Linked DNA regions of Macaca fascicularis. The protein of the gene in region 1 purifies or fractionates together with the protein of each later gene. This does not show direct contact. Links are inferred from orthologs where the notes say so. Each region holds a gene or a part of one and is shown in the gene's direction. Other genes may lie near its edges. The genes, in order: GLS and SIRT5.

Region 1 (16,332 bases):
ATCCATGAGGATGGAATGTTTTTTCCATTTGTTTGTGTCCTCTCTTTATTTCCTTCAGCAGTGGTTTGTAGTTCTCCTTGAAGAGGTCCTTCACATCCCTTGTAAGTTGGATTCCTAGGTATTTTATTCTCTTTGTAGCAATTGTGAATAGGAGTTCACTCATGATTTGGCTCTCTGTTTGTCTATTATTGGTGTATAGGAATGCTTGTGATTTTTGGACATTGATTTTGTATCTTGAGACTTTGCTGAAGTTGCTTATCAACTTAAGGAGATTTTGGGCTGAGACAATAGGGTTTTCTAAATATACAATCATGTCATCTGCAAACAGAGACAGTTTGACTTCCTCTCTTCCTATTTGAATACCTTTCTTTTTTCTTTTTTTCTTTTTTTTTTTTTTTTTTGAGACAGAGTCTCACTCTGTCAGCTAGGCTGGAGTACAGTGGCAAAATCTCAGCTCACTGCAACCTCCATCTTCCAGGCTCAAGCAATTCTCCTGCCTCAGCCTCCTGAGTAGCTGGGATTACAGGTGGGTGTCCACCATGGCCAGCTAATTTTTCTATTTTTAGTAGAGACGGGGTTTCACCATGTTGGCCAGGCTGATCTCGAACTCCTGACCTCAGGTAATCTGCCCACCTTGGCCTCCCAAAGTGCTGGGATTACAGGCGTGAGCCACTGCACCCGGCCCCTTTATTTCTTTCTCTTGTCTGATTGTCCTAGCCAGAACTTCCAATACTGTGTTGAATAGGAGTGGTCACAGAGGGCATCCTTGTCTTGTGCCGGTTTTCAAAGGGAATGCTTCCAGTCTGTCGCCCATTCAGTATGATACTGGCTGTGGGTTTGTCATAAATAGCTCTTACTATTTTCAGATACGTTCCATCAATACCTAGTTTATTGAGAGTTTTTAGCATGAAGGCATGTTGAATTTTGTCGAAGGCGTTTTCTGCATCTATTGAGATAATCATGGTTTTTCTCACTGGTTCTGTTTATGTGATGGATTACGTTTATTGATTTGCATATGTTGAACCAGCCTTGCATCCCAGGGAGGAAGCCAACTTGATCGTGGTAGATAAGCTTTTCGATGTGCTGCTGGATTCAGTTTACCAGTATTTTATTGAGGATTTTTGCATCAATGTTCATCAGGGATATTGGCCTGAAATTTTTTTTTGTTGTGTCTCTGCCAGGTTTTGGTATCAAGATGATGCTGGCCTCATAAAAGGAGTTAGGGAGGATTCCTTCTTTTTCTATTTTTTGGAATAGATTCAGAAGGAATGGTACTAGCTTTTCTTTGTACCTCTGGTAGAATTCGGCTCTGAATCCGTCTGGTCCTGGACTTTTTTCGGTTGGTAGACTATTAATTACTGCCTCCATTTCAGAAATTGTTATTGGTCTATTCAGGGATTTGACTTCTTCCTGGTTTAGACTTGGGAGGGTGTATGTGTCCAGGAGTTTATCCATTTCTTCTAGATTTTCTAGTTTATTTGCGTAGAGGTGTTTATAGTATTCTCTGGTGGTAGTTTGTATTTCTGTGGGATCAGTGGTGATATCCTCTTTATCATTTTTTATTGTGTCTATTTGATTCTTCTGTCTTCTTTATTAGTCTTGCTAGCAGTCTATCTAATTTGTTGATCTTTTCAAAAAACCAGCTCCTAGATTCATTGATTTTTTTAAAGGGTTTTTCGTGTCTCTATCTCCTTCAGTTCTGCTCTTAGTTATTTCTTGTCTTCTGCTAGCTTTTGAATTTGTTTGCTTTTGTTTCTCTAGCTTTTAATTGTGATGTTAGGGTGTCAATTTTAGATCTTTCCTGCTTACTCTTGTAGGCATTTAGTGCTATAAATTTCCCTCTAAAACACTGCTTTAGCTGTGTCCCAGAGATTCTGGTACGTTGTGTCTTTGTCTCATTGGTTTCAAAGAACTTACTTATTTCTGCCTTCATTTCGTTATTTACCCAGTAGTCATTTAGGAGCAGGTTATTCAGTTTTAATGTAGTTGTGCGGTTTTGAGTGAGTTTCTTAATCCTGAGTTCTAATTTGCTTGCCCTGTGGTCTGAAAGGCTGTTTGTTATGATTTTTGTTCTTTTGCATTTGCTGAGGAGCGTTTTACTTCCAATTATGTAGTCAATTTTAGAATAAGTACGATGTGGTGCTGAGAAGAATGTATATTTTATTGATTTGGGGTGGAGAGTTCTGTAGATGTCTATTAGCTCCGCTTGGTCCAGAGCTGAGTTCAAGTCCTGAATATCCTTGTTAATTTTCTGTCTTGTTGATCTAATATTGACAGTGGGGTGTTAAAGTCTCCCACTATTATTGTGTGGGAGTCTGAGTCTCTTTGTAGGTCTCTAAGAACTTGCTTTATGAACCTGGTTGTTCCTGTATTGGATACATATATATTTAGGATAGTTAGCTCTTCTTGTTGCATTGATCCCTTTACCATTATGTAATGGCCTTGTCTCTTTTGATCTTTGTTGGTTTAAAGTCTGTTTTATCAGAGACTAGGATTGCAACCCTGCTTTTTTTTTGCTTCCCATTTGCTTGGTAAATATTCCTTCATCCCTTTATTTTGAACCTATGTGTGTCTTTGCACGTGAGATGGGTCTCCTGAATATGGCAGACTAATGGATCTTGACTCTATCCAATTTGCCATTCTGTGTCTTTTAATTGGGACATTTAGCCCATTTATATTTAAGGCTAATATCGTTATGTGTGAATTCGATCCTGTCATTATGATGCTAGCTGGTTATTTTGCCCTTTAGTTGATGCAGTTTTTTCATAGTGTTGATGGTCTTTACCATTTTGTATGTTTTTGCAGTTGTTGGTACCCCTCATGGGGTTTTTAACAACACGGGGTAGATAAGATAAACCTTTAGAGAAGCATAAATTTTTTTTTTTTTTTTGGAGACGGAGTCTTGCTCTGTCGCCCAGGCTGGAGTGCAGTGGCCAGATCTCAGCTCACTGCAAGCTCCGCCTCCCGGGTTCACGCCATTCTCCTGCCTCAGCCTCCCAAGTAGCTGGGACTACAGACGCCCGCCACCTCACCCGGCTAGTTTTTTGTATTTTTTAGTAGAGATGGGGTTTCACCGTGTTAGCCAGGATGGTCTCGATCTCCTGACCTCGTGATCCGCCCGTCTCGGCCTCCCAAAGTGCTGGGATTACAGGCTTGTGCCACCGCGCCCGGCCGAGAAGCATAAATTTTAAGATGATAATTAACACTGAATGTTCTCTCTTAAGATTTGCAAAGAAGCCAGTGATTGGTGAGGACAGTGATTCGACATTTATGCAGCCGGATTTTGTTTTTAATAATAATGTGAATTTTATCAGCATACAAACTTGCTCACAATATTGAGACATAAAAAATGGGAAGGCTTCTAAACAAGCTAAAATGTGTAAGAAAACTTGTTAACTCTAAAATGAATATATTGGAGTTTGTTGAAATTTCTGCATTTGGTTGGAATCAGTTTTAGGAAGGCTTCATGGAAGTTAAATTTTAATCAGTGCTTTGGGGAAGAGACGAGATTGAAGGCACAGAATGAAAAGAAGGGCATTCTATCTGTCATGGGAAAAATATGCCTAGAATACCTTCTGTTCCTCCTCTTTCCCTCCTGGTCGACATAGCAAACTGCTATTCATCTTGCAGCAAATGCTGTCAACAAAGTGGTCAGGGAAGGGATAGAACGCAGCTTACACATACACATGTACAGTAAACTCTAGATTCATATCCTTGGAAATTATGTACTGGAGTGGATGAGTCAGCGAGTAATGAGAATAAAAGTTTAGAATGGGATAAAAAACATACTTGATGGTGGTTTGATATGTATTAGGAGTTTGGATTCATTTGAGAACCGGGAGCTGTATTAAGTTTGGAGCAAGTTGATTACACTTTAGCTATTTTGCCTTTCTGTTTATTAAGCTTTAACTCTTTTTTTTTTTTTGAGACTGGGTCTTGCCTTGCCACTCAGGCTGAAGTGCAAGTGGCATGATAATAGTTTGCTGCAGCCTTAACTTCCTAGGCTCAAGTGATCCTCCCACCTCAGCCTCCTGAGTAGCTGCAATCACAGGCACACGCCACCATGCCTGGCTAATTTTTTTGTTTGTTTTTTGTAGAGGCAGAGTCTTACTATGTTGCCCAGGCTGGTCTCTAACTCCTGGGCTCAAGCAGCCCTCCCACCTCAGCCTCCCAAAGTGTTGGGATTACAGACGTGAGCCATTGAGCCTGGCCAACTATCTTTTTTAAAATTAGGGTTTGGGTTTTGTTGGTTCAGCTCTTAGCTTGCAAGAAATGCAGAAAACTTATGTCAGTGTCTGACAAATGTTAGCAATTTTGTAAGTGTTGCTAATACTTTGGTTATCTAACTTTATTCCTGTAGTTGTAAAAAAGCACCATGATTAAAATGACCTTTATTGGCAGTATTCTAAAACCTCATGTTAGGGTGACATTCTTCCCTTTCCCCAAATTTTAATACCCATCCCAGCTTTCTAGAGCAAGAAATTGAAGAGCATTTTCCTCCTGTGTTTATAATCCCAACTAAAACACTATGTAATACCTGTTGGAAATATTACTGTGCTCTGTATATGTATTATTTTTTTTTTGCCCTAAATTGGCCTCTAGGAATATTAAAGTAGATGTACCCATCTGATAAGAAAAAGTGAGCTAAGTAAGTAACTTGATAACTAGGCATTCAGCAAGTCTTTTTCTCTATTTCATAGAATCAGTGTCACCTTAAATTATAAAATAGGTTTGAGCAAAATTTGGGTATTCTTGAGATAGAGTCTTGCTCTGTCACCCAGGCTGGAGGGCAGTGGCGTGATCTCATTCACTGCAACCTCCGCCTCCCAGGTTCAAGCAATTCTCCTGCCTTAGCCACCTGAGTAGCTGGGATTACAGGTGTGTGCCACCACACCTAGCTAATTTTTGTATTTTTAGTAGAGAGAGGTTTTGCCATGTTGGCCATTATGGTCTTGAACTCCTGGCCTCAAGTGATGCGCCCCCCTCGGCCTCCCAAAGTGATAGGACTGCAGGCATGAGCCACTGTGCCTGGCTGAAATTAGTGTATTCTTTAACGTTTATATTTTTCATTAATTCACAGAAGAGTTGTAAAAAAGGTAACACGCAGTTGACATTCCATTTTTCCAGAAAGACAGATAATTACATACTATAGAGGATGACTCAAAAGTCTCTTTCAAGCCACTGACTTCCTAAACTAATGAAGGCCTATTCAAAGTCACTTCATTCAGCTGGTTTTTTTGTTTTGTTTTGTTTTGAGAAATACAAAGATACATGTAAAGTTTTACTTACCCGATTTTAAAAACAGGCTACCAAAATTTACCCAAATATATTACAAAATGAGACTGTTTTAAAACCCTTTTGTTTCCATATTGTGACTCCACTAAGCGGGTAAAAAGTTCAGGACAGAGATGGAAAGAAGGAAACAGGAAGAAGTGAAACTAGGAAGGTGGTGACAGTGGCACATGGATGAAGAAAGAGAGATTAGCAGCCATGGAGAATTGTGTAACGTAAGTAGAGAGAGAGAGAGGGTAGGAAGACAGGCTTCACAGTTTGTAAAGTGTAAGGGAACTGCCTCTCATACCCTGTCATTGACTAGGGCTGTGAGTTATGTAGTTCTGTCTCCTCTTGCAAAAGACTTACCACTTCTGGCAACTCTTCATTTTTTCGTATCCTCGAATTTTCATCGACATCACTCTAAACAGCACAGCCCCAGAAGCATGGCAAGGGGAGTTATTAGTATGGAAAGGGGAGTTGTTCTGCTGCTGGTGTAGTGGTCCGATTGAGTCCATGGGTTCCCAACCTTACCAGAGGTGATAAAAATGTCAATTCCTCTGGGGCCAATCTTGCTCCTCCAATGTGTTTTTGGCCCTAATGGGGTCATGGTTATTTCTAGACTTCTGAGACTTACTGTGGCTTTGAATTGACACAAACACAAATTTTCTGTCAAAGGCTAGAGTGATGGATGTTACATACCTGAATTTTCTTTGAACATTTTATTTTAAAAGAGATACTTTGGGCTTTTCATGAAGCCAAAATTCTGGAACCCTAGAGCAGTCTATTATATCTGTCAACACAAGGACTTTCCTTAAAAAGCTCCCTACATAAGCACTTGTATGTATAAACAAGATCCTTTCACAGATCTTTTTCTCTTCCTCTCCATATCCCAACTTGTTTTGGAGACTACTTTTTGAATTATAAATCCCTTTCTGCATTTCTATTATTAATTTTTATTTGTAAAATTGCTAAAATGGCCATTTAACCTGCATTTAAAATCTGGGAATGTGGGGTGATCATCTTTGTACAGAAATTACCTAATGACCCTGTCCATGCTGTGCTACGTGTTTAGGTGGAATAACACTCCCATGGATGAAGCACTGCACTTTGGACACCATGATGTATTTAAAATTCTCCAAGAATACCAAGTCCAGTACACACCTCAAGGAGATTCTGACAACGGGAAGGAAAATCAAACCGTCCATAAGAATCTTGATGGATTGTTGTAATGGTCTCAAATCCCAAGATTTAAATCACTTACCTATTTAATTGTGGAAAATGATTATGAAGACCGTGTGTATTTCTGTCTGGTAGTGATGTATATTTTACATTTGTCATTTCAGTGTTACTGGAGTTTTCTTCATTGTGCGCACAGGACAAATCTGATCTCTTTGGGAAAAAATAGAAATAAAACAGTCTCCCTCCATAATGTGAGCAATATTACCTCGTGCATTGTATAATTTGATGTAAAAGAAATAGTTACCAATGCTAGCTTAATTGTGTGGTCTTCCATGATTTATTTGTGTTTTGTGAATTTTCAATTTATGGTGATGATCTGCTGATATGCATTTATAAATTAAGCTCTGTTGTACAGTCTGTCCAAATGGGTCAAGGTTGCCTTTAGAAGCAAATAGTGTGATTTTCAAGATTTCAAATACAAATTTAGTTTGAGTGTTTGAACAACTATATGCACTTATGGTTGTGTGTTTAAAGTGTCTCTCACCCTAGCTTCACGATGTGACTCTTAAACAAACTATAATAGTTAACAACTGTTAGTAAGATAGACCAATTCTGATTAGACTTTATCAGGGAATCTGTTTAAGATATGTTTGGTGACCAAAACATATGTGTGAATGTAGTTATAATACTTTTGAAAATTTTTCCTTTTTCTATATCCCCTTAGTCCAGCCTCTCTTCTCATTTAGCTCTCTGCCTCTTTCCTTCAGCTGGGAAAGTGAGTGCTGGCATACTATGCAGTTTTTATGTTTTCCATAGTAAGTCAGAAAATGCCTCCTATTTCTGGCATCAGAACTTTGCCATTTGTCTACAGAAGACGAACCAGAGACAAAATTGCTAAGTATAAATTAGTCAAGTTTACCAGTCTAAAAAACGAAGGGATGTGCAACCGCAGCTCTTTAAGAAGATTTTTTTTAGCTTCTAGGGTAAAGATAAATTCAGAAATGCTCTAAGCTACCAAAGTTATTCTGAAAGTATGGGAACTGCTACCACTAACATTTGTTTCCAAGCCTGTCATTAAGAGTCTGCACCAAGAGATTTGTCCTCCTTGGGGGACCATTGGATCATTCCAGATTTCTTGTGATTTTCTATTGTGTAATTCTTGGTGGGCTCTGTAGTTTAATAATAAGAAAAAGGCCATTTCATTTTAAATTGTGACCTATAATTTTCTTTGTCTTGGGTTGGTAATTCAGGATTCATTTGGAAAGTGGGTAAAAGGGGCTTCAAAAAACTAATAGAACAGGATTTTCTAGGAATTACACATACATTTTATCCTGTCATACCTCGAGATAAAGAGGCATGTTAGTGAGGATTTCTGATATTAAGCACACACACACATGCACACAAATGGACTTCTCTGAAGCTGTGTTTAGTGAAATGAGCTTAAGTACATGAATGTTAGTTGTTGCCACATACAGCAATTTCCTTTTCCTTTTTTTTTCTATGAGCACACACTGCTGCTTCTAAGCTTTACCATGCCTGATGGCACCTTACTCCAGCAGCCTCCAGGTGCGTTCATTTTCACTTCCAGTCTAAGCCAGTGGCTCCAGCCACTGCCCTCCCATTACCTAGATGGCACCTCGTTTGGTGAAACCACGGCCAATGTTCCTTAGCTGCACCAGGCCCAAAGCTGTTCCCACGCTTGAGCTTCCGTGGGGAGGATGGTGAGTGAGCAGTTTCCTATCCTATGGATCTGTCAAGCCATGGAGACAGGTAGCATTTGCAAGATGCTGCACAGGAGCAGCATTATCCCCAAAAATATTACAGGGTAGACACGTTTTAATTGAAATCAATTGAGATAACTTTGCTCAAACAGCAGCGTGCTTTGTGTGACTAAAATGAAACATTAAGACAGTTCAATTGTGTGACTTGAAGATTACCAATGATTTTGAGGCTTTTCTATAATAAAAAGAGGTTCTAACCATTATTTGGGAACAAAGAGAGTTTTCATCTTTTTTCAGATCAAAACCATTCTGTAAAATCTTTGTTGTTTAATTAAATGTGCCCTTATTTACCCCTGATGTTATTTATGACTATGTGCCGATTCCTGCTCGGGCTGTTTGCTGTTGGCTGGTAATAATATATTTGATTTAAATGCTGTTGACTGTGCTATTAACTGCTGCCGTCAGTAAACTCCAAAGATCTTTTTGTTTTGGCTTTAGTATCATATGTGCTTTTTCTGTATCATGAGAGCTCTATATGGTCATGTTACAGCTTTATATACATTGTTGTTTTTGCTGGTCTCATCTTTGGTAATAAGCTATACCCCACTGCTGCCCGACACTGCCCTTTAGCTGCAGAGCTGGATTAGCTATTGACCATTTGATGCTGTTGTCTGTCTGGCAGGGACTGAATGACCTGATGTCAGATTTAGATTCTTCCTGGGGATTATACAGCTATGAATGTATTTGCTTCTAAAACCTCCCAAAGTGAATCTAATCTTAAAACTACAAGTTGTAAGTATTCTGAAATTGGGAAACATTTATTTTAAATGCAATCAGGTAGTGTTGCTTTTTACAGCATAATAAATATATGTATCAAAAAAAACTGTGTGAAAAAATGAATTTTCTTAAAACATTTAAGAGCCAGGAACTCCACTGAGCATACAGACCATGTCTGGTTGGGTTCCAATCCATTTCTAATGCCTGCTATAAAGCTAGGTACTATGCAAGGTGTCAGATGGGGTTACCACAATGACTAGGACAAGAATCCTGTGTGTAGTTCATCTTTGAAGGTGAGGGATATGCAGGCATGTCTCTAGTCCCCTAAATGCAAACACTATCCTTTTACAGTTAGGAAGTGCTCAGTAAATACTTATTGAATGGAACCATTAAACATACCCTTGAATGAGAGGAGAGGTTATTTTCACAAAGCCTTAAAATTTATTTAGAGAGTTGAACCTAGTACTGCCACACTAGAATCTGAGTGTGACCAGCCAGTAAACCTCAGCTCCTAATTTATTCTGTGTGAGAATAGCATTCGCTTCCAATGCCAGAAATCCCTGGTCTTCAGAGCACTCCTTCCTTTCAGGCCAGGGGTTAGTGTATAGTTTTCCAATCATAGAGAAAGTACATGAATGCCATGACTGTTACATTTTCATTTATCAACGTTATCTGTCACAAAGTAAGTTACTTTGCTAGAAGAGTCACTGCATTGCCGGCATTTTAGAACTGCGATGAGCCAGGTAGTATGCAAGGTGACAAGTGGGGTTACCACAATGATTAGAAGAGACATCAGAAATTCTCTAATCTAACTCACTCTTTTATAGATGAAGCTGAGACCCAAGAGTGGGCTGTGATACAGAACTCTTAGGCCTGCGCTGTTGTTCTATGTCCCACAACACTGATTATGCCCAGGTATGGATAGAATATGCATATTAGCTTATTCATATGCACTATCTCCTATTAGCTAAGGCCTCTCCTCTGTGGAGTTTTAGGAAGAGGCATAAATGCTACAACAGAAAGTCCTGCAACACATAGTCAACTTCAGCTATACATATATACATCCATGGATAGGAGCAGGACATCAGTGCAGGCGCAACAAATGTGTGAATAATCCTAAATAGTGAATAGTTATTTTTATTCTTGATACAAGATCATTTTATTTTTGTAGGACTTTTTCAGGAGTTGGGGTAACCTTCCTAATTTTACTTGCTAATCTTCATAGTAAAATGAGTAAATTCATAAATCATACACCAGATGGCCGAGGGAAGCAGCCCATGAATGTGTTAGGTGGCACTTATAAAAAGGCTTTTTGGGAAAGGATAATCTTATAGTTATGCAAGGAAATGATGTGATTCACTAGATTATATGTGTTTGGCAATGGAAAAGATTAGAAAAGGCAGTTTTTTAAAAAGGAGGCATGAGATACAGTAAAACAACTGGACAAGAAGGTATTAAAGGCAGAGACTAGGGGCATTTATTTCTATTCTGGAGAATGAACCAGACTCCAGGCCTGTGTGTGCCCCCACTGTACCCCTTGCTTCCTTTCCAAATAGCCAGTAAAAAGGCTGCTATGAAGTGTGTCTGACAAGCAGTCCCCATGGCAAAAGAATATCAAGACTGTTTCAATTATGTACAAGAAATGTGGAAAGGCTACAAACAGACACAGGTATTAAGGTGTTATAATAGCTTTACAAAATATTATAGGAGAATTCAGAGTTTGATAATAGGTATTTGACAGCTTTCTACCTCTTAGAAAGCTTTATGTTCTCTGTAGACTCAAGATAACGTTAATAAATAAGTTTAAGACTGCTTAAGCCTGCCTCTGTTGTTTTTTTTTTCCTTTTTACAATAAATCAAGCAAGGTATTTAATTTCTTAGTGAGTATAGCAAACACAAAACCCAAAGTAAGTTCACGAAAACTTGGAAGCTGAGGATTATCATTTAAGAGAGAGAAAAGCTCATCTCAAAAAGCTCTAAAAACAATATTGTTTCTCTTCAGCTTTCCTAAAACTGGTTTAAATGTCATTTCTTTGAAATTGTATTTTTTAAATATAACATTTACATTATTTGTAGCTTCTGGCTGTTTGTATCATAAAACTTTGTTTTTTAATAAGGTGATTGCACTAGAATGTACGATCCGGTGTCTCAGAACATCTTCAGTTCCATAAAAGCAGGGATCTTTGCTTTTGTTTACCAATGTTTCCCAAACATCTAGTATAATGCCTGGCTCATGGCAGGTGCTCTGTATAAATTTGATAAATTAATTAATGAATGAATCGTAACTAACCAAAGGAAGCCACTCACATAAATGGTCCTTACTTTGTTAACGTCCCAATTCAAAAGGTAAGTAGAATAATTTTCAAAACACTTTCTAGCTTTTTCCTGTCCTTTCCCTGGGTTAGTCAGTGACAGGACTGCTCTGTTCAGAAAGACTTGCCTTCATATTCCACTTCAGCTTTCAGGAAATAAATAGATTTCACTCATTTCATGCCATCTCAGAAAACCCTCTTTCCTTTAAAATTAGACATTTGTCCTCAGTAGCACACATAAGCTCTATGCTTATAAAACACTTTTCAAACTTACAAACACCACACGAGAAATACTCAAACACACAAATATTCCTTAAGTTAGGATCTACTCAATGACTTCTTATAATGGTTAATTAGGTAAGAATACAAACTTATTAGCCAGGGCATATTTACTTTACTCCTTGGAGAGAGACCACTCTCAGTGTTCACTATAAATAACCTTTGTATTTCCTAGATGTAAATAACAACAGATACGGAGATGAGAATAATCATTCTGGTTATGATGCCAGCATTATCAGGGAATAACACTATTCCATGATAATAGCTAAATACAATTTGCCAGACTATGTCTAACTTGGTGATTACGCCTCTTCTTACCCTTTTTTTTTCCCAGTACACAGTGTATTTACTTTGAGAAGGCCTGGCTTTCTAGCTTTTGACATCTTTGGGGAAAAATGGCAGCTTTTTGTGTGGGTACAATAACTTCTCAGTAATAACTCATCTAATCATGGGGGTGTAGATTTTAGATGACTGCTTTGGAGACAAGACAAAGTCCCATTTCTCATGTATTTTAAAATTAAAAACTGCTAATTTGGGGGTATTAGCAATACCCAGATTCATTTTAAAATAAGTGCTGAATCATTTGTATATTTGGAGACAGCTGTGGTCGCAAAGAACCAAAGTACTTTTGTTTGTTTGTTTGCTTTTTATGGCACCTATTATAGCTCTTTCCAATAATATTACTCCTCTGACCTCTTCCATTGACATATCTTAATCTGCCATAGCAATTCTGAGTATGCATAGGGCAGGTAAGGACAACATTTAGGAAAAGAGTGTTATTAATCTTATTTTAAAATAAGGATTGAGGTACAGGAGAAAAGCATCAAACTAATTCATAATGTCAGTAATTTTAAGAATATTTATATTAAATACTATTAATAAGAGATTAACAGAATTTTAGAATTTTAATACTTCTTAAAAGTAAAGTCTCTTGGCTAGTGCAGTAAAATGAAACCATGCCAAATTCCCAAAGGGCAAAAAGAACTGACAGCTAAACCTCAGCAATTAGAAACAATATTGTTTCAATGTTGTCTTTGTTTTTTAGTCATTTCAATTGTAAAAGGCAACTGAAACTTAGGTTCTCACCATCTATATAAAAACTGAGAGAGGAGGTCTCAGATTGTGTGCAGTGCCACGGAAAACACTGTGTGCATATTATATTTAATGCAATACAGATACTTTAGCTTTAATTTTAAAACAAAACTCAAGAAAACTTTATCTCCGCCAAAGAAAAATACAGCATTTGCACGATAATATAGTTGTGGTAGCAACAGTGGAAAAACAAGGTACAGCCACATAGACAGCAGTATGTGAAAGGGAAGAACCTTGTCAAACCCATCTCTTAATCTACTTGTTGTGTCAGTGATTAGGAAGGAAAAAGGTAAAAAATACAGTATACTTCACAAAACATCATCCATTCAAAAAAGTGTCTGGAAAAAGCACAGGAAAGATAATGGAACCATTCACAAATGTAATTGTCAGAAAAACACATATATCAGCGAAATACATGCAGTTCTCAATGCAGTTACATAGGAAATGAGTTTTGAAATGATCTGATTCTCATATTATCTCTGGTCAATGATTCAAGTTGTCAGTTACTACTTTTTCTACTCCTTTCCCAATTTTGTGGCTAATAGACTAAACACCACCCTAATTACAAAAAAGACAAAATAGCCCATTTAAGAAACATGAATTAAATTTCTGAGTTTATCTACATCTATGATTAATTTCAACTTTTGAATGAGTGGCTGTGAATAGCCTAACTCCCTTGGTAGAACTGTAAAAATAATTGTATGTGACCAAGATGAAAGCAGAATGTATTCAGCTTTGGATATCAAACACAATTTGTGAATCTGGAAATGTACATCCTTCAATTGATACTAGCCAGTGTCATTAAGCCATAACAACAGTAAAGCTAATATTCTCTCAAGAGGCAGAATTTGTCTTTGTCTTTAAATAGCCAATGTGAAAGATGTAATAAAATACACAACATTTTCCCCCTACCAGATGCATGATGGCTACCTTTGAAAGAGGACTGATATAATTGTATATAAACTTGGCTTTAAACTATTTCACAGATAAACCAATGGAAAACTGCCAGTCACACTTAAAGCAAAGAGAACACGTAAGAATTCTCCCACAGAAATTTACCGTTCCTGTGTCAAGCAGTTCCCTAAATAACCATTGCTTTATCCAACAACCTATAACAGTTGGGCACTGACTTTATGCATAGCATTTGCTAGATGTTGCTCAACTTCTCTTCCCAAAGGACCCTCATTCTCGTCCTGATACTTTGGGTGTATCTGGATGTTTTTCACTTGTGAAACCCACTCTTCAGAGTATGCCTTTCAATTTTACCTTCAGTAAGATGCATGATGCCCTTCAGAGTAACTGATGTTTCTGAGTTAGAGAAAAATTCACTTGCTATCAACAGGTTGCAGCGAATTTGCGAGCCTTTCTTTCATTTCCCTAGAAACACAGGATGTGAAGGAACAGAGTAGCAGGAGGGAATCACAGATGAGAAGGAAAACTGTCGCCAGAGAAGATGAAAAAAATTCATGTTCTATACTGCGTTCATCTGTAAAAAGACAAAATGTGGTTAAGTTTATTACACTGATCTTGTGAAATGCAGATTCATACATTAAACATTGCTCGTCTATTCTAGAATGAAGTAGTAGGAAGATACTTGCAATGGCAAGTAAATACCATGGAATGAGAGGGCCTTCAGCATGTACTATCTATTATTCTGGGCTAATCAAGACCTTTTATATCACCTAAGCTGATGGATTATTACTCTGTTGCCCACTGGCTTAATTTTGTGAATCCGTCCAGACTGCATAAAGCTTTTTGCTGTTATGCAAGTCTGGGGACAGAGCAACATGTCAGATCTGCTCATGTGAAACAAGGGTGTGGAAACGCTGAGCCATATGCCAGAGGTAGTGAGGAAGGAGAGGGAAATGATACATTTCCTCTAAAGGTCACTCAGTGGGTAAAATCAGTGACTGTGTTTCAGGTACAGGCTAAAGAAGCAGAATTACTAAGAACTCCTTCACCCTCCCCCCACCAGTGCCTTCTGCCCAGCTGCCTTGACCAGGACAACTTATAGTAAGTAAATTGTTCATCCAAAGGATACTAGCCTGCCAGTGACTTCCTGTCTGACTTCCACAATGGTGTTTCCCCTTAGACCAGATGCTTTCAATTGAGGATGATTCTGTCCCCTGGCAATGTCTGAAGACATTTCTGATTGTCCCATCTGGCTGAGAGGGTACATGTGCTTACTGGTATCTATTTGGTAGAAGCCAGAGGTGCTGCTGAACCTCCTATGAAGCACAGGAAAGCCCTCCTGCCAATCCCCCACAAATAATTCTGTAGCCCCAAATGCCAGTAGCACCAAGACTGAGACACATGGCACTAGACTGGAAAGCCTCTGGAGAACTTTTTTTAATCCCAAGTGCTCAATAGTGTATGGTACATAGTGGGCTCTTAGGAAAATTATTTTGGATTGAAAAGCACAGTGAAAGTGTTGCCCCTATGTTTCAGTCTGGCTCATGTTTCAAATGGGTGCTTAATAAGGTGGACTACAGGGGCAAAGAGAGGGAGGGAGGGGGAGATAGATAGAGGAAGAGAGGAAGCCTGGATTCAGATCCTGTCACTGCGTGACCAGGGCGAATGACTTAACCTCTCTAAATCTCAAAGTCTTCATCTGTCAAAAGGGGATTAATAGTACCTAGCAGATAGGCTTGTTAAATTAGATGGTATATGTAAAATGTTCAGTATGGTAGACAGAAAGTAGTAGACGATTAATAGCTAGTCCTATCATTATGAGCTTTGGCTAAAGGCCTCTTGGAGAGTAGACTGGTTCTATTATAGTCCCAGAGGAAAACACTGATTACATAGGAAATCCAGACTAAACAAATACCCAAGTCATACTGCAGAAAACACTGGTGCTCTGGCTGTCTTGGACAATTTCCTCAGGAGCCTATGGTCCTACTGCTCCTGAGGCTGCACCAGGCGTTCGCCCCTGGTGCCACCCTCTTTCAGAGCTGCAACCTCCAGACTTGGCAGAAGACAGCCAGCTTCGGGAGAGCTGCTTCTGTTTCAGAGTATACACCCTGATTATAAGAGTAGATGCTGGATGGAAGTCATGACCAAGGGGCAGGCCAGCAAACCATTGCGGAGTCAACCCAATTTAGAGACTGATTCAACTTCTGTCTAACCAGTGCCGTGCCTAAATTATGAACTCTTTTTTTTTTTTTTTTTTTAATTATAGCCCTTTTAGCTCTTTTAAGTCTTCTATGGGTTTAATGGGAGACTTTAGTGGTGTGTAGAGGGTGTGTGTGTGTGTGTGTGTGAAATGGATTTATTTTATTCTACAAATGAAATAAATGAAATCATCTGAAATGGAATGGAATGGGTACGGCGGGCCATAGCCCACAAAGAGGACCACAAAACTGTTTCCTGACATGTGCTTAGCATATTTAAATTGCTCTCACAGTATCATCCTGAGAAAACAGAGAGCAGTCCAACTGCTCCACAGGACTGCAGAGAGGGAACCAATCCATCTATTTTCTCAATAATGGTGATGACAGAGATGCAATGCTGATTGCCAAATCCCAAACACACACAGGCCTCTCACCCAAAGGCCATGATGCCTTTGTCTTCATAACAGAATAAACCCAATCCTGTACAAACAGTTTCTTCAGGTACATGTTTTGAATGGGGCAAAGATTAGCCTTTTGTGGGACGCTTCCCAGGATACTGGACAAAAGCATGCACTAGAGACTCACCAG
Region 2 (16,332 bases), on another chromosome or scaffold:
GGGAGGGCGAGCCATGGTCTGTGTCCACAATTACTTTGTCTCGTGTTATTCTCTGTCTTCAGTTCCCTTTGCTACCCCAAGTCTCTGGCAGTGTCCTGTTGAAAAGTTTGGCTCTTATTTGAGTTGTCAAGGAGAAGGCCATGTGTCCTTGCCCTTACCTTCAGTCGCTGTGCTGAGGGAAGCTGAAATTAGCACGATCCGCAAAGGGAAGGTGAACTTGGGGAGGAAGGGTAGGCTTTGGGGTCCAGTGGGCCTCAACTCAGCACTCACACAAACATACAGGCTTGTTTTTACTTTTGTGAAGGAAGATGGATTCCTTCGCACTAGGCTTTTTTAATCTTCGTAATATGCCTGCTCTAGGAAAGGCATTACTGTGCACCTCAAAGAGCCAAGGAAAGTGAGGACAGAGAAAGGTACATAATGTGCATAAGATCCTACATTTGGTTGGGAGGCATAGCTGCGGTGCAGAGCCAGCTGTGTGTGCCCAAAGCCCCTGCTTCTTTAAAACACTGTACACTCACCCAGCAGGTCACATGGGATGGTGTTTTCATGGTACAGGAAAGATGTTTGTTTATCTTAAAGTATAACTTCACACTGGGTCAAGTTTCAAGATACAGACAATTGATATGGGATACAAATGTCCAAATGGTACACCGGATTGATAAAGATTTTACTCTGTTTAGGTATGGCAGATTTTCGGAAGTGTTTTGCAAAAGCAAAGCACATAGTCATCATCTCAGGCGCAGGTGTTAGTGCGGAAAGTGGTGTTCCGACTTTCAGAGGAGCTGGAGGTTACTGGAGAAAATGGCAAGCCCAGGTTTGTAATGTTTCCAGAACATGAAAAGCTTCTGTCGAATGAAACCGTAACAGAGTTTGACTCAAATCCTGTTCCTATCCCTGAAACCCCGGGGAAATGTTTTTAAGTTAACTGTGACCCTATTGTCTCATTGATTTTTGGCATAAACACAAATTTCCTATGATTAAGTTCAAAATTTAAGCAAGGCTGCCACTTTCCTTTCTAGATATGTATGGATTGCATTTATTCAGATAACAGTTTCTCCTAATAATTGTGTTAAAGTTAAATCAGAAAACTTTCGTTAGCATCATTCATTACTTTTCTAAAGTTATTGAACTTAAGTATGACACAGAGTTTCTGTGAACTTTTCATGTTAAAACTAATGTTGATTATTGAAGGGTTAGGATTTGATATTCAAAAATTTATAGGAAAGCCTTCAGAATGTAAGTTCTGTGAAGGTGCGGATTTTTTAAATTCAATTTTTATTGAGATCTAATTTACATAAAGTAAAAGTCACCAGTTTTAAGTGTACAATTTAATGAGTTTTAACAAATGGACATAGTTGTATAGCCAGCACCATAATCACAATGTAGAACATTTCTGTCCCTCTAGAATATTCCTTCATGGCCCTTTGCAGTCTGTGCTCTCCCGTCCCACTGGCTCAGGAAATCCCTAGCTTTGGAAGACAAGGAATTGTTTGTTTGTTTGTTTGTTTGTTTGTTTGAGACGGAGTTTTGCTCTTGCTGCCCGGCTGGAGTACAATGGCGTGATATCAGCTCACTGCAACCACCACCTCCCAGGTTCAAGCGATTCTCCTGCCTCAGCCTCCCGAGTAGCTGGGATTACAGGCATGCACCGCCATACCCAGCTAATTTTTGTATTTTTTAATAGAGACGGGGTTTTACCATGTTGGTCAGGCTGGTCTCAAACTCCTGACCTCAGGTGATCCACCCATCTTGGCCTCCCAAAATGCTGGGATTACAGGCATGAGCCACCATGCCCGGCCTCTGTTTGTTTTATTCATTGCACTGTCTCCAGCTCCCAGAACTCTGGCACATTATCAGTGCTTAATGGATTTTCATTGGCTGAACAAAAGCAGTCATAAATAAGTACTGCAATACATGTCTTCCATGGTTAGTAGCTCATTTCTCATTGAACGCAGAGTTCATGAACCTGCCCCCTCCTTCTTCTCCTGAACATCTGAGCCTGGCAGATGTTTGGGTGCTCTGCCTCCTGCCTGCTGCCCTCTGGGTGAAGGGTGGGGGTCATCACCTTAAAGGTGAAGTGGAGGAAAAAGGAGAGCAGAGAACATTAGGGGCCAGGAAGAAAGAGGGGCCACAGGGCATTCCCTGGATTAGCAGCAGCAGAGGGTGGGAGGTCAGAAGGTGTGGGAGGAGCTTGGAGGAGGGGCGCTTAGTTGTGTCCAAAAAGGCTCAGAGTTTGTGGACAAAGCAAAGAAGTCGATAGAATGCATTTGACTCCAGTACCCTCCCAGGGACACCTGTGGACATGTTGCTGTGCCGCCTATAAACTGTTCCAGGCCGTGTGTTCTAGGTGGAGAGCAGGATCGGTGTGGGCCAACCCCTCATTTGGCAAAGACTGAGATTGCCACCAAGCAGAGGGGCCTTTACAGTAGAATGAAACGCACATGTGTTCAATGTAGGAAGCGTCTCCTTGATAGAGAAGCCATACTTCTTTTTAAAATTAATGTTATTGAGGCAGAATTTCCTTAGAATAAAATGCACCCACGTGCATTGTGTGTACAGGTTGATGAGTTTTGACAGGTGCATGCACCTGCATAACACCCCCACCTCCACTGTCAAGAAACAGAAATTTCAGTGATCGCTGAAAGTTCCCTGTGCCTTTCCCTGCCAGCTTCCGGCCCCAGACAACCCCTACTCGGCTCCTTTACCAGAAAGGAGGTTTGTTTCTCCCAGAATCATATTTAAAGTATATGTATTTTATCTATTCTGTTTATATATAATATACACTTTTTATATGTAGCCGTGTATGTGTTTAGCTGTGTGTGTAGTTGCATGTATGTGTGTAGCTGTGTATGTATGATGTGTGTATTTCTGTGTGTGTAGGTGTGTGTGGTTTTGTGTGTAGGTGTGTGTATGTAGATGTGTATAATTGTGTATGTTTAGTTGTGTGCATATTAACAGATACGTGTGGTTGTATATGTGTATATTTAGTTGTGTGTATGTTGTGTAATTGTATGTTGTGTGTGTGCAGTTGTGTGTATGTAGATGTGTGTAGCTGTGTATGTAGATGTGTGTGTATGTTTAGTTGTGTGTGTAGTTGTGTATGTAGTTGTGTGTATGTTTAGTTGTGTGTATAGTTGTGTATGTAGTTGTGTGTATGTTTAGTTGTGTGTATAGTTGTGTATGTAGTTGTGTGTATGTTTAGTTGTGTGTGTGTATAGTGTGTATGTAGATGTGTGTAGTTGCGTGTATATGTTTAGTTGTGTGTATGCAGTTGTGTGTATGTGTGTAGTGTGTGTATGTTTAGCTGTGTGTGTAGTGTGTGTGTGCAGTTGTGTATGTAGATGTGTGTAGTTTGTGTAGTAGTGTATGTGTGTTTAGCTGTGTGTGTACAGTTTATATGTAGATGTGTGTAGTTGTGTGTGTTTAGTTTGTGTGTGTAGTTGTGTGTGTGTATAGTTGTGTGGATGTAGATGTGTGTAGTTGTGTGTGTATCTTTAGTGTGTGTGTAGTTATATGTATGTAGTTGTGTGTATGTAGATGTATGTAGTCCTGTGTATGTCTAGTTGTATGTGTGTGCAGTTGTGTGTCAATGTGTGTAGTGTGTATGTCGAGTTGTGTGTGTGGTTGTGTGTATGTGTTTAGTTGTATATGTGTAGATGTGTATGGATGTAGATGTGTGTAGTCATGTGTATGTCTAGTTGTGTGTATGTGTGTGCAGTTGTGTGTGTGTCGACGTGTGTAGTGTGTATATATGTTGAGTTTGTGTGGTTGTGTGTATGTGTTTATTTGTATGTGTGTAGATGTACGTGGATGTAGATGTGTGTAGTCGTGTGTATGTCTAGTTGTGTGTATGTGTGTGCAGTTGTGTGTCGTGTGTAGTGTGTATGTATGTTGTGTGTGTGGTTGTGTGTATGTGTTTATTTGTATGTGTGTAGATGTGTGTGGATGTAGATGTGTGTAGTCGTGTGTATGTCTAGTTGTGTGTATGTGTGTGCAGTTGTGTGTCAATGTGTGTAGTGTGTATGTTGAGTTGTGTGTGGTTGTATGTGTTTATTTGTATGTGTGTAGATGTGTGTGGATGTAGATGTGTGTAGTCGTGTGTATGTCTAGTTATGTGTATGTGTGTGCAGTTGTGTGTGTGTCAGTGTGTAGTGTGTATGTATGTTGAGTTGTGTGTGTGGTTGTATGTGTTCAGTTGTATGTGTATAGATGTGTGTGGTTGTGTGTGTTGTATGTGTGTAGATGTGTGTGGATGTAGATGTGTATAGTCATGTGTATGTCTAGTTATATGTGTGTGTGTGCAGTTGTGTGTGTGTCGATGTGTATAGTGTGTATGTATGTTGAGTTGTGTGTATGTGTTAGTTGTATGTGTGTAGATGTGTGTGGATGTAGATGTGTGTAGTTGTATGTGTGTGTGTATAGCCATAGCTATAGTTATCAAAACTGAGTTTCTTAACCATGGTCATTAGACTTCAATGGGCATTTCGCATTTCATGTTTTCCCTGGGTGTAGGTCAAAATGAGATCCACTTCATATGTTTTAGGGCTCCATGAAAAAGGGGATTCGACCCAAAATACCTTCCTGCATATTATTTTACTTCATCTTCACAGCTTACTTGGGAGATAAATGGGACAGGTTGCATCGTCCCTGCTTTGTCACTAAGGAAATTGACTGATTTCTCCAAGACCCCTGGGCAGTCCCAGGATGGGGATGTAGGCTGGTACCCAGGCCCTGCCTGGCATCTGCCATGTTGTTTGAACCTAGTGCTGCCATCTCCAGCCTGCACCCTCCTGACGCTGCCTATCTCTGCCTTAGGGAGGAAGGGCCTGTGCCCCAGAGTTCAGCATCCTGGCTGCCCCTGCCTCCCTCACTCCCGCCTCCTCTCCCACCCCCAGGACCTGGCGACTCCCCTGGCCTTTGCCCACAACCCGTCCCGGGTGTGGGAGTTCTACCACTACCGGCGGGAGGTCATGGGGAGCAAGGAGCCCAACGCCGGGCACCGCGCCATAGCCGAGTGTGAGACCCGGCTGGGTAAGCAGGGCCGGCGAGTCGTGGTCATCACCCAGAACATCGATGAGTTGCACCGCAAGGCTGGCACCAAGAACCTTCTGGAGATCCATGGTGAGAGACCCCCAGCCTCACGTTCAGGGAACCAACTTTAAAACACCTGTCCTGCCATTTCAGCATCACCCCTGGTGCCTTCCCTCCCTCCCTGGTGGACACCTGTCCCGTTCCCATAGGATGCTGTGGCATTTCCTTTGGAGACATGTCAGTGCCCCGTGGCACCTGGGCAGCTCCCTTTAGCCATGGGAGGAGCCTCTGACCCATAGCATTATTTACTTAGCAGTTCCTGCATCCTCGCTGCTCAGTATGGTCTGAGAGCCAGCGACATTCGGCGTCCCCCAAGAACTTGTTAGAAATGCGGAATCTCAGGCCCCATAGGACCCACCGAATCAGAATCTGCATTTTCCCATGAGCCCAGGTGGCTGGTGTGCTACTGGAGGAACGCTGGGGTGCACAGCTGCATGACCCCTTCCTTTGTGGAGGGGCACGGTGCTGTGAGACAACGGCCTCAATGAGCCGAGGAACAGGAGGCCTGGCTCATTGGACAGCCAGGGCTTGAGCAGGATTGGGCAGGGGCAGACTGCAGCATCTTGGGGTCTCCTGTCACTCTCCCTTCATCCTGGTGGTCACTCCCCACTGAGGCTGCGCTTCCGCCCCACCCTGGAGCCTCAGAGAGCTGCCAGCTCAGTGCTGGACACCACCAAACCCACCAAGCCTGTGATGTCGGTGGAGTTTGTCTGGGGTCCCTCTGGGCTCCTTCCTCTGTCCTGGGTGACCCCTCACTCCTTCACTCTTGTCTTCTGGTTCCTCCCTTCTTTACTGTCACCACAAGTCTAATACATCCAGCTGTCCACAGTCATAATGGGCAAACTAGGGTTTCTCCCAAGGCCATTTGCATTTAAAGAGTCTGCATTCAGATTCAAGGAATGCATTTCGTATTTTTTAAGCATTTATTTCTCTTAATTTTATTCAATTAATTAATTTACTTTTTTTAGCAATGGGGGTTTCACTCTTGCCCAGGCTGGGGTACAGTAGCTCGATCATAGCTCATTGCAGGCTTGAACTCCTGGCCTTAAGGGATCCTCCCACCTCAGCCTCCAGAGTAGCTGGGACTACAAGCACATGCCACCATGCCCAGATAATTTTTTAAATTTTTGTAGAGACAGTGTCTCACCATGTTGTCCAGGCTGGTCTCGAACTCTTGGCCTCAAGCAATCCTCCTTCCTCAGCCTCCCAAAGTTTTGGGATTACAGGCGTGAGCCATTGCGCCAGCCAAGAATGCATTTCTAAGTGTAGCATTTCCAGAGGCAGTGCACCAGTGGGGATGTTTGTTTTTGCGTGTGGGTGGTAAAGCTGCCTGCTTTTACTTAGGTCACCCTGATAAGGAAAGCGAGGCATTACTCATTTCGACTCTGCCTCTCTTTTGTTTGCCAGGAACAGCCAGCCACCTATTAACTGAGCATCTTTTTGGTACCTACATCTACTGGGTCTGAGCCACTTTCCACGTGCCTCTGCTTATTTCCCTGCAATGTCAGAATGTGGCCTATGTCATCAGCATAAAACTGAGATGACAATGCCTAGTTACAGAATTGTTGTAAGGATTAAATAAGATCATATATGTGTGTTAGGACTTTTTTTAGTTTCAAATGATGAGAACTCTCTTCTAACTTAGGTTAAAAAAAATCAATGGCATCTTCAGTCTGATGAAGGGTGTTTTAAGATGCATCGTGTTTTTAATGTGGCATTTAGAATATAATCTGCCTAAACCATGATATACTATTTTATTATCCCTTAGAATTGTTATTTTATACTTAGAGAGCTTGTTAAAATGAGTATAATAAACTGGTCCAAATATTTCTCATTATCTAGCTCTTCTGAATTCTGAGTGTCTCAGAGCATGGATGTCTGTGTTTTCCATGCAGTTTCATGCTCTGTGCCTCAGGACATGGATGATGCGGCCTTTCCAGAGAGAATGCCCCTCTGTTAGAGCTGCGATTCTCGTGCAAGCTCCTGGCACACCTTCCGCAGGTTCGCTATTGGGCCTGACATACTCTTACCAAGAGGCCATCAGTGGAAAGGCTGTAGACAACAGCCAAAACCCGCTTTCCTTCCTGAAGCGGCCCTTGAATGGTTTGTTGGTGGAAGGATCCAGGGGCTGAATCTGCCTGGTCAGGCCACGGAGAATAACAACCAAGTCACCCCACTTTTCAGTGTTCTCCTTCAGCAAGTCTGTGCAAGCATGATGGTGATGTCACACTCACATCTGGCTAGTAGCAATTGCAGGACACATCTGAATTTCAGAGATGTGAAAATGGGGAAAAACGTCTATACTAAAACTGACAAAACCGAGGAGCCTGGGGGTGCAGCTTGTGTCATCTTTCCTCCTGGCCCCTGGCCCCCTCCTTCTCTCAGCTTTACTCACTCTTTGAGGTGGCCTCCCTTCTCCCTCTGCAATTGATCTGCCTCCACGTGCCAGGGGAGAGTGCCTCCGACAGCTCCAGGCTCTCCAGCTCAGCCACCTGCTCAGAAAATAAACCTCTGGGTGGGCTTGCTTGGTCCACATGCCCACCCTTCTGACCAAACATGACTGCAGAGGGATGGGCCCCACATGGGGGCTGTGTGGAGCATGTGGCCGAACTTGTATTTGGGATGTGACCCACAGCTCTATTGGCTCAGCACGCGAGAGAGCAGGGATGGTGGTCCCGAAGGAAGGACTCGGGGGCAGAACGGAGCAGCGCGTGTCCACCGTGGTTGAAAGTGCTCTGCATGGTACCAGGTGCCCAGTACCCATTTCATAAACTCTGGCCCCCTTCAGCTCAATAAGTAGTCATTAGTATTAACAATTACTTTTTTCACTTAGTAGTTGATTACTTATTTATTGAGGTGCTTTTGTATAAAAGATTGAAGCTTTCTGAAATCAAAGTTAAGATTTTGTAAACATATCCCATGCCGTTGAACCTTTATCAGTCATATCAATAAATCATGCCCTTAGATTTACGTTGAGCTCCCTCTACCCTATTGGCCACTTCTGCCCACTTGAACACCACTCCAAGGTCATCTGACGGCACGTTAGTCATGGAGTTAGTTATTTTTCCTCCAGATTATAAAGTCCTTGAGGGCATATGTTCTTGACTGGCTTAAGAGTACTACATGCCTCTGTTTCCCATGAAAGCTAGGGTAGGCCCATTTGCTAAAATGAAGTATGGCTCAGTGTGGCGGTGCACACCTATAGTCCCAGCTGCTCAGGAGGCAAAGGTAGGAGGATCGCTCGAGCCCAGGAGTTGGAAGCTGCAGTGAGCTATGATCGTACTACTATACTCCAGCCTGGGTAACTGGGTGAGACCAGAAAATGAAATGAAGTGTGGAAAGTGAAGTATCTTACACCCTTTCAGATGTGGAGATGATTGCTCTTGATTAGACTAAATTCTGGATTTCCTTCATATGTATTTTTCAGGTAGCTTATTTAAAACTCGATGTACCTCTTGTGGCGTTGTGGCTGAGAATTACAAGAGTCCAATTTGTCCAGCTTTATCAGGAAAAGGGTAATTATACCACACTACAGAATAAGTATATGTTGTTTTCTCCTTTAGGTCGGACATAAATGTGAGGAAATTGAACATTCATCAAAGATTCCCATTGATATGAGAAATAAGACTAAATACAAGGCTGGGTGCGGTGGCTCATGCCTGTAATCCCAGCACTTTGGGGTTACAAGGTGGGAAGATTGCTTGAGTTCAGGAGTTCAAGATCAGCCTGGGCAACATAGTGAGAAACCTGTCTCTACAAAAAAAAAAAAAAAAATTAGCTGGGTATGGTGGCACATGCCTGTAGTCCCAGCTACTAGAGAGGCTGAAGTGGGAGGGTTATTTGAACCTGGGAAGTCGAGGCTGCAGTGAGCTGAGATCATGCCACCGCACCACAGCCTGGGTGACAGGGAGACCCTGTCTCAAAAAAAAAAAAAAACAAATATAGCCTTGTGATAAAAGAAATATTTTGCTCACAACTTACAGTGTTAAGTGAAAACCACAGGGTCCTGAATTTATACACACATGAGTTTGTATAACTGCATATAGTTAAAAGACCAGAAGAAAATATAACAAAATATTAACAAGGAATATCAGGAGTGGAGGGATTATGGGTAATTTTTAATTTCTTCTTTATATCTTTCTGAATTTTCCTACATTTCTATGATGAACAAGTACTGTTATTACAATGAGGGAAACATTTGAGGGTAGACACAATATTGAGGAAAATTCCATTTCAAAACAGTATTAATTATATAAGGAATGTATAATGTCATTGCAGAGGATACAAATGATGATGATGTATAAAGGTAAACATGAAGTTCCCTCTTAGCACACCCAGCTACTCCAGCCCTCCCTACACACGAATTCTCTCACTGGCAGTACAACCACTGGTGATTTTTTTTTTTTTTTTTTTTTTTTTCTGAGACAGAGTCTTGCTCTGTTTCCCAGGCTGGAGTACAGTGGCACAATCACACCTTACTGCAGCCTCCAACTCCTGGGCTCAAGCAATCCTCCTGCCTTAGCCTCCCAAGTAGCTAGGACTATAGGCACACACCACACTGAGCTAATTTTTGTATTTCTAGTAGAAATGCAGTCTCACTATATTGCCCAGGCTGGTCTTGATCTTCTGGCCTCAAGCAGTCCACCCACTCTGGCCTCACCAAATGCTGGGATTATAGGCATGAGCCACTATGCCCAGTACCACTGGTAATTAATGGCCTGGGGTCCTTCCTTCTAATGCCCTTCCAAGTGAGCATGTATTAATTAGGAGTTTTACACCACATACTACCAGGCAAATATACAAACTGAGTTATGTTGTTTCTTTATTTTTTATTATGCCAATAACAATCTTTCTTTTCTAATATTATTTGCTTCAGTGCTCCAGAACCTGGAACTCAAGATGCCAGCATCCCAGTTGAGAAACTTCCCCGGTGGGTAAAAAGCTCTGATTTGTACCAGTGTTCCTGGTTACAAAAAAAATAGACATCAAAATCTAAACATGTATTTGGCAAGATGCCTCTTAAATCAAATGCACAAATGTGAAAACTAGCCTTGACCTCTAAGACCAAAAGTGAAAGGACAAAGGATGAACCAAAGTAGGATGAAAAAAATGATTTCTTTCCAACCCCTTTTTGCTTTGTGTTCTGGCGGGATCATTTCAGGTCGGGAAAGTTTCTGAAGCTGTTGTGTGACAGGTGGTTACCCAGTGTACAGAAAGCATATGGGCTGACCTATAACTGGTCAAATAACATCACTGGCATTATTAATCCATGGTTAAGGAGGCAATGAATAAGGAGGCAATGAAAGGACGTGAATAGGAGAGGTTACAGGACCCAACAGAATGTTCATAGATTTAAAAAAAAAAAAAAAAAAAGGAAGATTTTGATGCCAATTTTTCAAAACCAGACATTAAAACAGCACTTCTATAATCTGTAATTGGATCAGAGGTTTTTTTGTTGCGGGTTTTTTTGTTTTTTTGGTTTTTTTTTGAGATGGAATCTCACTCTGATGTCCAGGCTGGAGTGCAGTGGCGCGATCTTGGCTCACTGTAACCTCCGCCTTCTGGATTCAAATGATTCTCTTGCCTCAGCCTCCCGAGTAGCTGGGATTACAGGCGCCCGCCAGCATGCCCGGCTATTTTTTGTGTTTTTAGTAGAGACGAGGTTTTGCCATGTTGGCCAGGCTGGTCTTGAGCTCTTGACCTCAGGTGATCCACCCACCTCGGCCTCCCAACATGCTGGGATTACAGGCATGAGCCACCGCACCTGGCTGGATTAGAGTGTTTTTAAGGTAAAATAAAACAGCACTTCTAAAAGTGTTTCATAGAACATTAATTTAATATTACGTTGAGAGGCATTACTTGATAAAAACATGTTAGGCACTCAAATTACAGAAATGTTAGACTAAACAAAGTTAAAATATGTTTGCTCTACTGCAGGACTTTTCAGAGCATTTATTCCACATTGCTGCCTTCTAAAAAGTGGTTATAAAATGTATGTTAATGCTTTACTGACTTATTTAACCACAGAACCTTTTAAATTTTCCTTATGAGGGTTTTAATTGCTAAATATTAAAGTTTTCTTCTGAAGGAATAGGGAGACCTGGAGGACTTCTATGATGCAGGAGATTACGATGATGAAAATGGTGTTTGAGGGATGATTTTAGGAGGTGTATAGAAGGTGACCCTGAGGTAGGAGGGAGTGAAAGAAAGAGATTTTTAGTAATGGATACAGGAAAGCTGACTACATACGGGGCCAGAGAGACGTGAACCTGAGAGCACATGAAAGGTCATCGATGAAATTAGGGGATGCTTGGGGTGGGAGGCAAACCTGAGTCCAGTATGACTCCCAGGTCTGGGTGGCTGTGAGCACAAGTGTGAGCATAATGAAGGAACCGGGAAAGCTTAGCTGAAACAATCTGTCAGCACATCAAGTACACAGAGACAAGATAAAAAACAAGGACAGTTCGGCAGGGCGCGGTGGCTCACGCCTGTCATCCCAGCACTTTGGGAGGCTGAGGCAGGCATATCATGAGGTCAGGAGTTCGAGACCAGCCTGGCCAATATAGTGAAACCCCATCTCTACTAAAAATACAAAAATTAGCCGGGTGTGGTCGCATACGCCTGTAGTCCCAGCTACTCGGTAGGCTGAGGCAGGAGAATGGCGTGAACCCGGGAGGCGGAGCTTGCAGTGAGCCGAGACCACGCCACTGCACTCCAGCCTGGGCTGCTAACAGAGCGAGACTCCGTCTCAAAAAAAATAAATTAAAAAAAAAAAAAAAAAAAAGGACCGTTACACCTGATGCTTCACATGCAAGGCAACTTTATATAGGCTGGGAGGAGAGTGTAGGGAATAAGAGGCATCAGAGGTGAACCATCTGGACGTACTGGGTTTGGGGTAGCCCCTGGCCGCCCTCCGATCCAGCTGGGCAGACTTTGCTCGGGGTTGGCTCAAGGATCCCATTCTTCCAGGTGTGAAGAGGCAGGCTGCGGAGGCTTGCTGCGCCCTCACGTCGTGTGGTTTGGAGAAAACCTGGATCCTGCCATTCTGGAGGAGGTTGACAAAGAGCTCGGCCGCTGTGATTTATGTCTAGTGGTGGGTCACGGCTTTCCCTGACCCCAAGACAGGACTGGAGTTAGTTATTTTTTGCTTCCCCCTCTTCCCTTTTCCGTCCTCGCTCCCTTGCTTCTTTCCTTCCCGCCTTCTCTCCCCCCTCCCCTTCTTCCTTTCCTTAAAATGTATGTTGAGAGGTCTTTGTGGCATCCTATAGAAAAACTGAGAAACAATGAATAAGAATTTATATTAAAATAGGAAACCATGCATGTCTTGGACATCTCAAAGCCTTCTCCCCCAGCCCCACCAAAAAAAAAAAACATACTATTGGTTTTTAAAATAATACGTGCTTATGATTAAATTTAATTGAGAACATGCAAAAATTATCACATTATAAAGAGGAAATTAGAAATCGCCCATAGTTCTGCTAATCAGAAATAGTTACCATTAGCAGTTTAGTATATTTTCTTCTAGACCAGGAGTGAGCAAACAGCAGCCTTTGGGCCAAATTGGGCGTGCTACCTGTTTTTGTAAATAAAGTTTTATTGGAACTCAGCCGCACTCATTCTTCCACACACTATGACTACTTTCAAACTACAGTGGCAGAGTTGAGTACTTGTGACAGAGACTGAATGGCTGCAAAGCCTGAAAAATTTACTCTATGGTCCTTTTCAGAATAAGTTTGCCCACCTCTGGTCTAAACCTTTTCTTATGCAGATGTACACATATTAATTAAAATTCAAAACTGACTTCATGACATATGTTCTGTTTTGAAACTACTTTATTCACGCAGCAGTTCACTTAGCATATTCCATGTCAGTACATCTAAATCAATATCATCTTTCAGTTGACTGTATGGTGTTTTATATGGATAGGGAATGATATATTTAGCTAATTCTCTACTGTAAGACATTTGGGCTATTTCAAATTTTGATATTTTAATCAATGATATCGTACATATCCTTAGATAGAAATCTTACCATGCTCTTCAAATGATTTCCTTAAGACACATTTCCTAAAAGTGGGATTAATTGGACAGATTGTATGCATATTTCAAATTTTTCTGGACACATCTTTAAAAGCAGAGGCACTTTCTTGTGGTGCATATTCATTCAGCCAGTATTTAAAGAATGCTTTCCAATGTCGAGTATAGTATCACTGTTGATGATGGATTGTTAAATGAGAAAAGCTGGTTTACAAACCAGTCATGCTCTTCCCATCCCTGCAAAGAATGTTTATAAGCAAATATTTATGAGAGAAAACCTAAGAGGACATACATGAAAATGTTAACAGTGGTTATCTTGGGGTAAGATTATTGATGATATCTATTTTTTTTCTTCGTATTTTCTACCTTTAACAAAAAGAAAATATGTTTTAAAAAGTTATGGATCATTTGCTTAACTTTAAAGCAGAAACAAAACCAGAACTACCCCCAAAACATGTTGAGTCACTTCTAAGTCACTCTTTTGTTAACTCTCCTTTTCATGTCACATATTCTTGTCGATTCTAGTGATTGATCAAAGGACAGCTCTTCACTTTCCCTCATCCCTTGGACACCCTGTTTTATCCCATCCTGTTTGGCTTTTCTCACACCTGCAACCACAGACCTATCTGAGTTTGTGTAAGGTTTTCTGAAAAAATGTTCCTTCTTGTCGTGTGGCCGTTTGTCCATCTCCATGTGCTTGCCTTGTAGGTGGGCACTTCCTCTGTGGTGTACCCAGCCGCCATGTTTGCCCCCCAGGTGGCTGCCAGGGGCGTGCCAGTGGCAGAATTTAATACGGAGACCACCCCAGCTACGAACAGATTCAGGTACTGGGATACCCTGATGGGAGAGGGCGATGTGGGAGGCAGGTGCAGACATGGTCATCTAAACATAGTTGACCTACTCCTCTAATTTTTAAAAAAGACACAGGGTTTGTGTTTTTTTGTTTGATCTGCAGTTGCTTTTATGGAAGAACAAAATCATTCACTGTAGACTAAGGTAGGGTAGCTCTGTCATTGTACACGACATTTGCCATGGGACTTTTGTTTGTTCACATTTTGAAAGCTCTTCTTTGATTCCTTAGGCTTTGCTTTCCCTTACATTTTTAAGCTAGACTCAGTGATGGCCTTTAGTTGTAGGTTACCCAGATGCTCCGCAAGTAAGCCTGGGAGACGCCCTTGCAGAACCTCATCACCTGCCGTTCTCACTGGGAGGCCACCTGGCAGATTCCCCTTTGGTCTAATCGCCAAGGTTATCTGTATCTGTGGCCATGTTATGACACTGATCCTGCTTCCCAAGTTTAGGTGGGAAGTGTAGATTGTCATAGTATGCATTTTTAGTCTTATTCCTGGGTCTGTTTTATGTCTTCACCCTTCTGTCTTTTTTCTCACTCCAACTTTTTTTTGCCTTTACTTCTTATTCTTGTCCATCTAGTTAATTCCTTTTGAATAAGTTAGACTATAAATAAGTAGTAAATGAATATAAATGAATAAAATAGAAAACTTCATTGAAACATCTTGTCATTACTTTAATCAGCAGTTTCCAACCTTGGCTGCATATTTTAAAAATACTGATGCCTGGGGGCCACTTCATGAAATTTCAGTGTCATTGCTCTGAGTTGCAGCCCAGACATCATTTGATAAGCTTCCTAGGTGATTCCAGTGTGCAGCCAGGATAGGAACCACTCTTCAAAGTCTCTGCTGGGATTTAAAAAAAAAAAAGGAAAAAAGAAAAGGGGCCACAGACACTTAAGTAGGCCCCTCCTCAGGTGAGTGAACTGGCTCTGGGCCTCTTCTTTTCCATGTGTCTTTTTGATCAGCTATAGCCTGTGTTCTTGATCCATAGTTCTTCATTTGTGTGTGAGTAGTAGGAACTAAGAAGATAGCCTAAAAAAAATTGCCTCCTATGCTAAACTTATACTTTGAAAACTACAGAACATTGTTGAAAGAAATAAAGAAGGCCTAAATGAATGGAAACATATCCAATGTTCATGGATTGGACAACTTAATATGATTAAGATGGCAATGCTCCCCAAATTGATCTAAGGGCTCAATCAACTCAGTCCTTATCAAAATCACAACTGGCTTTTTACAGCAATTAATTGAAAAGATTACTCTAAAATTCATATGAAAATGCAAGTGACCCAAAATAGCCAAAACAAAATGAAAAATGAAGTTGGAGAACTCATACTTCCCAATTTCAAAACTTACTATATATTAGCTGGGCATGGTGGCACATGCCTGTAATCCTAGCTACTTGGGAGGCTGAGGCAGGAGAATCAGTTGAACCCTGGAGGTGGAGGTTGTGGTGAGCCGAGATTGCGCCACTGCACTCCAGCCTGGGCAACAAGAGCAAAACTCCATCAAAAGAAAAAAAAAAAAACCTTACTACAAACTTGGAGTAATCAAGATAGTGCGGCACTGGCATAGGATAGATATATAGAATCAGTGGAGTAGAATTGAGAGTCCAGTAAAAAACAAAACAGAACAATAACACAAAACCTCACATTCATGGTCAGTTGATTTTTGAGAAGAGTGGCAAGACAATTTGATGAAATACAGTCTTTTTCAAGAAATAGTGCTGGATATCCACACGCAAAAGAATGAGCTTGGAGCCCTCTGTCACACCATACACAAAAAATAACCCAAGATGGATCATAGACCTAAATGTAAGAACTAAAAGTATAACATGTCAAAAGAAAATGTAGGAGTAAATCTTTGTAACCTTGGGTTAGTGAAAGCTTTCTTAGATATGACACCAAAAATGCAAGTAACATAAGAAAAAAGGGTAAATTGGACTTTATCAAAATTTAAAACTTTTATACTCCAATGGGTACCGTCGATTAAGTAAAAAGACAACCCATAGAATGGGAGAAAATATTTGTAAGTCTAATATTTGATATTTGATAAGGGATTTGTATCCAGGATATATAAAGAACTCTTACAACTATAAATAATAAAAAGACAATCCAATTAAAAACCAGGTCAAAATATTTGAAACGACATTTCTCCAAATATATACACATGGCCAATAAGCATACTGAAATGATGTTCAATATCATAAAACCACAATGAAATATCACTTCATAGTTACAAGCGTGGCTATAATTTTTAAGATAAAGGAAAATCACAAGTGTTGGTGAAGAAACTTGAACCCTTATACATGGCTGATGGGAATGTACAATGGGGCAGTCATTTTGGAAAAC

Evidence for each region.
Region 2: the proteins of GLS (region 1) and SIRT5 purify together in Homo sapiens (affinity purification with western blotting; 3 studies listed by BioGRID and IntAct, with this or other methods). This does not show direct contact. The link is inferred for Macaca fascicularis from reciprocal best matches to the Homo sapiens genes GLS and SIRT5.

Annotation. Positions count from the first base shown.
Region 1 is NC_088386.1:86,652,585-86,668,916, forward strand, and holds the end of GLS (glutaminase kidney isoform, mitochondrial), read left to right. Parts: intron 1-6,346; coding exon 6,347-6,503; 3' UTR 6,504-9,057; downstream 9,058-16,332. Other genes in the region: STAT1 (signal transducer and activator of transcription 1-alpha/beta), read right to left, coding at 14,106-14,120. UniProt on the Homo sapiens protein: Catalyzes the first reaction in the primary pathway for the renal catabolism of glutamine. Plays a role in maintaining acid-base homeostasis. Regulates the levels of the neurotransmitter glutamate, the main excitatory neurotransmitter in the brain.
Region 2 is NC_088378.1:159,346,882-159,363,213, reverse strand, and holds part of SIRT5 (NAD-dependent protein deacylase sirtuin-5, mitochondrial), read left to right. Parts: intron 1-683; coding exon 684-817; intron 818-4,898; coding exon 4,899-5,124; intron 5,125-6,989; exon of another isoform or gene 6,990-7,729; coding exon 7,730-7,843; intron 7,844-8,521; coding exon 8,522-8,609; intron 8,610-9,970; coding exon 9,971-10,024; intron 10,025-12,063; coding exon 12,064-12,187; exon of another isoform or gene 12,188-12,226; intron 12,227-13,838; coding exon 13,839-13,954; intron 13,955-14,085; coding exon of another isoform or gene 14,086-14,125; exon of another isoform or gene 14,126-14,640; intron 14,641-16,332. UniProt on the Homo sapiens protein: NAD-dependent lysine demalonylase, desuccinylase and deglutarylase that specifically removes malonyl, succinyl and glutaryl groups on target proteins.